Ovis aries: one gene and its partner. Each later gene encodes a partner of the first gene's protein in a complex. Links are inferred from orthologs where the notes say so. Each region holds a gene or a part of one and is shown in the gene's direction. Other genes may lie near its edges.

The links. The genes of interacting proteins can lie anywhere in the genome.
Region 2: POLR1B (region 1) and TAF1B share a complex: the UniProt entries of both Homo sapiens proteins name them as parts of the pol I pre-initiation complex. The link is inferred for Ovis aries from reciprocal best matches to the Homo sapiens genes POLR1B and TAF1B.

What each region holds. Positions count from the first base shown.
Region 1 is NC_056056.1:60,441,211-60,445,301, reverse strand, and holds the start of POLR1B (DNA-directed RNA polymerase I subunit RPA2), read left to right. Parts: upstream 1-1,245; 5' UTR 1,246-1,279; coding exon 1,280-1,456; intron 1,457-3,142; coding exon 3,143-3,310; intron 3,311-3,744; coding exon 3,745-3,891; intron 3,892-4,091. UniProt on the Homo sapiens protein: Catalytic core component of RNA polymerase I (Pol I), a DNA-dependent RNA polymerase which synthesizes ribosomal RNA precursors using the four ribonucleoside triphosphates as substrates.
Region 2 is NC_056056.1:19,135,511-19,139,163, forward strand, and holds part of TAF1B (TATA box-binding protein-associated factor RNA polymerase I subunit B), read left to right. Parts: intron 1-2,381; coding exon 2,382-2,559; intron 2,560-3,104; coding exon 3,105-3,151; intron 3,152-3,653. UniProt on the Homo sapiens protein: Component of RNA polymerase I core factor complex that acts as a GTF2B/TFIIB-like factor and plays a key role in multiple steps during transcription initiation such as pre-initiation complex (PIC) assembly and postpolymerase recruitment events in polymerase I (Pol I) transcription.

The sequences.
Region 1 (4,091 bases):
AGAATTTAGGTCACAGCTGCACACATCTTGGGAGATTTGATGGTGTAAACATAAGAAAGAAACAGAGGATAATTTTTAAAATTGATACAGGAATGAGAATTACCACCGGACCTAGGTAAAGGTGGAATTGCGTCAGGTGGACATTTCTCTTAAGTGGTGAATGAGTTCATTATCTTAATCGTGATGATAGCTTCATCACGGAAGCCCAGGAGGCACATACCTAGGTCAAAACTTACCAGCGCGTACCCTTTAAGCAGGTGTAGTTTATCGTGTGTCAGTTATACCGCGTACAGGATAGAGCTGTTAAACGCACATACACAGGAAAGATTACGCTGAAAGACAGCTGCAGACAGTCTCCGATAAATCGTTTTCTGGGGAGATGAATGGAGTATAGGATTTAGACTCAAAGTATCCCTGGAGGTCCAGTGGTTAAGAGTCTGCATTTCCACTGCAGGGGGCACAGGTTTGATCCCTGGTCAGGGAACTAAGATCCCCGGATCCCTGGGTTGGGAAAGATCCCCTGGAGAAGGGAATGGCAACCCACTCCAGTGTTCTTGCCCGGGCAATCCCATGGACAGAGGAGCCTAGAGGGCTAGAGTCCATGGGGTCGCAAGGAGCTGAACATGACTTAGCGACTAAATAACTAAAGGATATTAGGGCTAGGACGCCCGCCTGCACACACGTTGCCGGCTCCCGCTCAAGACTCGAGTCTAGACGACGCGGGGAGGGGCTAATGGGGGTAGGACCACCGCTAGACGGTCCCAGTGATGAACCTTCCCGACTTAACCCCTTACCCTGGTCTGGGTAGAGGGCAGTCGGTTTGGTGCCTAACTGCTTTTTCCTTGAAGCCAGAACTCTGGTTGGGTGTCACCCCGAGAGTCTGCATCAATATTGGATCGCAAAGTCGTCAAGGAAAGAGAAGGAAATCTTTGAACATCACTCTCCGCCGGTCCTAAACCGCAAATGAAAGATGGAGATTTCACAGGCGGAATTGGCCGTGGAGCGGACTTCCCCTTTGTGAGTGGAGAACGGAGATCTACAGGGGTGGACACCGGAAGAGAGGAGACGGAGCCGATCCGCCGCTCTCCGACTCTGCAGGATTTTGAACGGGCCCACTTGCTCCAAGTATTAGTTTCTAGTCGACCCTGTAAAATCTGAGGACCCAGGGCCGGCAGACCAAGAGGAACTACATTTCCCAGCAGGTCATGGGTGCTGGGCGCCGGGTGGTGTTTCCGGCGCGTGTGGAGCAGTCCCTGGCGCCCGGTGTGCTGGCAAACTCATGGATCCCGGCGGCCGGTGGCGAAACCTGCCCAGTGGGCCCAGCCTAAAGCACTTGACCGACTCGTCTTACGGGATCCCGCGGGAGCAGCAAAAGCCAGCGTTGCAGGAGCTGACGCGGGCGCATGTCGAGTCTTTCAACTACGCTGTGAGCGAGGGGCTCAGCCACGCGGTGCAGGTGAGCTTGGCCTCCTCCCAGCCGTTCCTCAATTTTGGGTTCTCCGGCGCCTCTAGCCCCTGCTACAGGCGGGTGAAGCAAAGGGGCCTGGCGGCACGGCGGATGGGGTGCGGGGTGTGTGAGGCGCTGGAGAAGGAAGAGGGAGAGGTGAGTGAGGCTTGGGGCCTGGAAGAGGGGAGGAGGGATCCAGGAGACGGGGGAGTTGGGCACAGGCCCAGCGCCGGGCTATGTCGAGGAAGGTGCCAGTGAGTCATTAAAGCGAGATTCAGTGGGAAACCTTTGGTCCTCCTTAAGAGATTGGTAACGTCATTAGGTAACATTTACTCCATACTAAAGTGATTGGTCTAGAGGGTGATGGTAGCAGGCTTCAGGTTAAAATAATGGGGTAGGGTCTCATTTAGTAAGCATCCCGGTGTCTCCGGGCACTGGGCTCTGACAGTGAGGGAGAGGCAGACCTATGTAAGAGAGAGTTCTTGCTTGCTATCTTGTTTTGGGTGGAGGTGGTGGAGCTGTGATGGAGAAGGAAATGGCAACCCACGCCAGTATTCTTGCCTCGAGAATCCCAGGGACGGGATGGAGTGGGCTGCAGTCTATCGGGTCGCACAGAGTCGGCACGGCTGAAGCGACTTAGCAGCAGCAGCAGGTGGAGCTGTGAAGGCAGTCAGTGCCAGTACTCTGGAGCAATTCTCTTGCCAAGGGGCTATGTGCGGGGGCACAGAGGAGGGAGGTGCAGCTAACCCAGGGCAGGACCTCATGAATCCAAGAGAAGAGTACGTTCCCTCCAGGGGGAGTGCAGGAGCAGAGCTCAGGGGTCTCTACCCTCTGCTTTTGTTGGGTAGGGCTTGTTCTGCAGGAGGGGTGGAGAGAATGTTGAAAGCTGAGCCAGTTTCTGATGCTTGAACTCTCTTCTGCAAATAATGGGGGAACCATCGAGGCTTCTTCGAAGATTAATACTGCTTCACCCGTTTGCAAAAGATGAGATATTTTTGTCTGATGGGAAATAATTTCTATCGTGCCTGGACTCATTGTATCATGTCTATGAGAAAAATTGTAAATCTGCTTATAAGTTAATTGACCCTGGGATTTATTAAAACAATGAAAAAGAGTCCAGCGTTGAGATGATCAAGGAATCTTTCCGCTAAAATGGGTTCTCTGGTAGCTCAGACGGTAAAGAATCTGCAATGCAGGAGACCCAGGTTCATCCCCTGGGTCAGGAAGATCCCCTGGAGAAGGGAATGGCAACCCACTCCAGTATTCTTGAGGAAGAGCTTGACGGGACTACAATCCATGGGGTCGCAAAGAGTTGGACACTGCTTAGCAACTGAACAACAACATATGCACAAAGAGAGTACAAGGTAAAATGTGAAGCAGAAATAAATTAGGAGTTTGGGATTAACATATACACACTACTGAAGTCAGGTACTTGGTTCAGAGGACAGCTTTGTCCGTAAACAGCTGTATCCCTAGAACCTATTATAGAATCCAACAGTGAGTAGACCAGAAAGTCTTCTTAATGCTGTTTTAGGTACTTAGGACAGGAGTAGCCCAGATGTAGTGCTGGCTCTTTTTAGATGTGTTGCATTAGGATGATAGCCATCAGTGCTTGTAGAACACCTGAAATTTGAAAGAGTCTGAGAGAAAGTGCCTTGCAAGTGCAAGCGGTTGACTGTCTCAACTGTATTTCAGGCCGTCCCTCCCTTTGAATTTGCTTTCAAAGATGAGCGGATCTCTCTCACCATTGTGGATGCCGTCATCAGTCCTCCAGCCGTTCCCAAAGGGAGCATCTGCAAAGAGCTCAACGTTTATCCAGCAGAGTGCCGAGGCCGGAGGAGCACCTACCGGGGAAAGCTGACAGTGAGTATGAGTGACAGCATGCGACTCACACACTGTACATTTTTTTTGAATAAGCCCAGTGCCTAATACGGTTTATACCAGAATTTGGCTTTCTCAGTGCTGTCGTCCGAGAGATCCCATCTTTTAAACCTAAAGCATAAAATCATTTAGTTTATGGTCCTCTGCCTTAATCTTTTAAAATACTCATCTATTCTTTTTTTATATACTTTTTTTTTTCAGTATTCTATTGTGGTTTATCACAGGATATTGAATATAGTTCCCTGTGTAGGACCTTGTTGTTTATCCATTCTAACTGTAATAGCTTCCATCTACCAACCCCAAAGTCCCAGTCCATCCCTCTGTCTCCCTCCCCTAGAATACTCATTTATTCCTACAGATCTAGATAGTCCCCCACTTTTTTTTTTAACTTTTTTCTCTCTCTCATTTTCACTTAGGCCGATATCAGCTGGTCAGTGAATGGAATCTCAAAAGGAGTCATTAAGCAGTTTCTGGGCTACGTTCCCATCATGGTGAAATCCAAGCTTTGCAACTTATACAGCCTTCCTCCAAAAGCCCTCATCGAGCACCATGAGGAAGCAGAGGTACCCACAGGGGAGCCGTGCCCTGAAAGACCTGGTGACAGTAGAAAGGGCCAGAACTGGGAGTGTGAGAACAGAAAGCTTGTCAGGGAGTTCAGTTTTCTTACTCTGCTTTAATTTCTAGATAGGTAACAGGGGCCTTGATGTCTTGTCTATGCTCTGTGTAGGCTTCATAACAAGTCTCAGATGAGACAGTGTATGAA
Region 2 (3,653 bases), about 41 Mb from region 1:
ATGGTGGTAGTGTTTTCTGACCAGTGTGTATAACTTAATAGTATTTCTCACCTAACTCTTCCTGAGAGTAAGAAGTAGAATTAAAACCACTATAATATACAGAGAGATACTGCTATCATCTGATGTTGTAAAGTGCTATTTTAGAGACCATATTAAAAAGAGCCAGGATAGAAAAATTTTACTTCTCACAAAGTGTTCAATAGAAATAATTTGGAATATAGATAAAAAACTATACACAAATGTTATTGACCCTATTTATAATACTGAGAAATCAGAAATAAATATCCAATGGAAAGGTAATGTTTAAGTAAATATTTTGTATATTCAGTAGAACCATGTGCATCTTTTAAAATTATGTTTGTGAAGAGTATATAAAAGCATGGGAAATGTTTATGTCATAATAGAAAAGGAAATAGGCCAAATTATAAATTATATATAATATAATCATAGCTATATAAAATTAAAATATTCATGAAAATATTGGGAATAAATTTATCCCAATATTGAAGTGCTATTTCTAAGTTATAGTAATGCATTTTTTCTTTCTTCCCACTTTATGTATCTTATAAATGTCCTATACTGAGTTTATATTACATAATAGTGGGAGGAAAGAGTAAACAAAATAGATCTACTAACTAAGATGTGGTGGTCCCTTCACCTTAGAAATTGCATTCTAAAATGTGACATTGATTGGCCTCCTACCCATGAAATTATAAGAAGGCTTCTAGAATATTGCCATTTTCAAAGCTGAAAGTTTGCACTCTATAGTTCTCTTGTGCTGTTGATCAAAAAGAAGAGATCTGTGTACTTGGCCCTTTTTCAAAGAGAGGTTTTCGGGTTCCCAGAAAGCTAAAGGTGGTTTTAAGCATGCTAGGGCAACGAATGCCCCTCCTCAGTGCCTTTATGTATGACAATGTCGTCTTTGGAACTGGGCAGAAAGCAGCTTCCAGCAAGCATGTCACACACACACACCCTTGCTGAGTAAGCACTGCCTCCTTGGTGGCTCTGACTGAACTCCAAATACATCCCTTAGTTTTATCCCTCATCCTGGGACTGAGGAGCTGGCCAGAGAGAATTCCTGGCAGCTTTCATAATCATGTCTGTTTAATTTGTGGGGAACCCTGTAGAGTTTCCAAAGTGCCTTCATCTGTATTACCTCATCGTGAAGGTGGAAAGGGAGGACAGGTGGGTGTGCTCATCTCAGATGAGACGTAGGCAGGTTGAGTGACGCCTGGCTGCCGGATGGCCGAGGCGTCATATAATACTCCAGGTCACATAATACTCCAGGTCAGAATCTTAGTTTTTCTCTCCTGTCCTGGCTTCCTTCCTCATAATTTTTTTCATTTGCTTTTTATTACTATGTACTTTTAGTATAAGAGAAGCAATTCAAGGTATTAATTTTAAATAAATAGGGGAGACATTCTTCAAGAAATACCATTTTTATAGTAATAAAATTCTGTATATAATACTTTATATAGAGACATGTATATACTGTATGTAATGTTATTTGGACTGTTATAAAAGTATGGTATACTACATTAAGAGAATAGAATCAACAGAACATAATGACTGACAGTATATAGGAAATGCAATACAACTTATTATGCTCTTGTAAATAACAACTGTTCTACTTGAATTTAATCACAATATAGGTACTTCAGTTAGTAAGTAAAGAAATTTGCTTAGTAATTCAGAGTTTTCAAAGTATAATTCACTTGTCCTATCTTTTATGTCCTGTGTTTATCCTCACCATAACCCATTTTACAAGTGAAGAAACTGAGGTTGAGTGGCTCTAGTCCGGAGTCACAAAGCTCATGATCAGAAAGCCTAAATATATAGGCTGTAGGTGTTCTGGCTCCAAGTCCCAAGTTACTCAGCCTTGAATAATAGATGAGTCTGTGCTGAGCATGTAATTTCTTTGGGAAAGCAGGGCAGCAGGTGAGGTGCACACTGGGCCTTCCAGTGTGCTAGCCAGGCTCCCTAGCTTCCCAAGTGAGTGCACATTTTTAGAGAAGCCCTTGGTCCTACAGGAAAGTTGGTTTCAGGTAAATGCAGATTGCTGTAGAAACACAGACAAGGGGCGTGGATGAAGCAATAGAAGATGGATGTGTGCCTGTATATTTGGTGCCAAGATATGTGCCATAGATAGCAGGCATTTTGGGAAGTCAGAATAGGAGAAGATAGACCTTGCCAGGATTCGACCATATGTTTTTCTCTACACATTTCATTTTTTGGTTTATGTATACACAAAATGGTATGTCTCAGAGTTATGGCATAGTATCATATTTTAAGATAAAGCTTATCTCATGTATGTATACATTAGTATGGTCTCATTAACCAAAGAATTTAATTTCACATTTTTCTGTTTTATTCTTCAACAGATGAAATGCATAATTTAACCTGCCTAGTGGTAAAAGCGACTGGAATAGGAGAAGTGGATTTTCTAAGATTTGATCCTATAGCTAAAAAGGCAAAAACTGTTAAATATGATGTGCAAGCTGTAGCTGTCATTGTAGTGGCATTGAAACTGCTCTTTTTATTGGATGACAATTTAGAATGGTAAGTGTATGTAGTCTTAGGAGAAAAAAATTTTATTATTTTCCCCTAATTATTCAGAGTAAAGGGCTCCATATGTTATGTCTCAGTAGAAAGTAGAGACTCTGAGTTGTTACAGAACACTGACTAGTAGCAGCAGTTACTCCTTACCTAATGTTTTGGCTCAGGTATTTGTCAGAGATTTCATTCTCCTTTAGTAAGTTGTTTGGATCATGTTTTCTTCCATTTTTAGGAAGATGCACATGTGTCTCATTCTCCTGAGTTTTAAATCATACACAAATTCTAAAGAGTCACTAGCACTTCATCCATGTACCTTTTGGTTTCTGGCACTATGTGTCTTCAAAGATTATTTTGGAAAGTGAAAGAATCTTAAAATGCCAACAAAGAGTGGCAGTGTCTTCTTCCCTATTTCAGTGCTTGCTTCTGCATTAAAAGTTGGCATCAGTTTCAAGTACTGTTCTATACTTCTCTTTCAGAAGAATTCAAAATTTAACTGTCTTCTAATGAATGATTTCCAAATAAATTGATTTGTTTATTTGTGTCTCCAGGTCTTTGTCTAATATTGCCAAGAAATATAATGAAAAGAACAAAGAAGGTACTTTTTTTTTAATCAATCAAGTGATTGTAAAAGGTGAATTAAAAGATGCAATAAATATAGAGAAGAAGCTGAGAAATATATAAATTGTACCTTGTATCAGACTGTTTATATGTGTAGTTATCTAGTATATCTTCTATTCTCAAGGAGGTATAGTCAAATCTAGGAGAACAGACATGTAAAAAGATGGTTTCAATATGTGGAATCTAGAAAAATAGTAAAGATCTTATTTGCAAAGCAAAAATAGAAACAGAGCTGTGGAGAAGAAACGTATGATTACCAGAGGGGAAAAGGCAGGGGCGTGGGGTGAATTGGGAGATGGGGATTGACATCTCTACACTGCTATGTATAAGACAGATCACTGATGAGAACCTGCTGCGGAGAACCTGCTGTGGAGCTGCGGGAGCTCTGCTCAGTGCTCTGTGGTGACTTAATTGGAAGAAAGTCCAAAAAAGGGGGATATATGTGTATGTATGGCTGATTCAGTTTACTGTACAGCAGA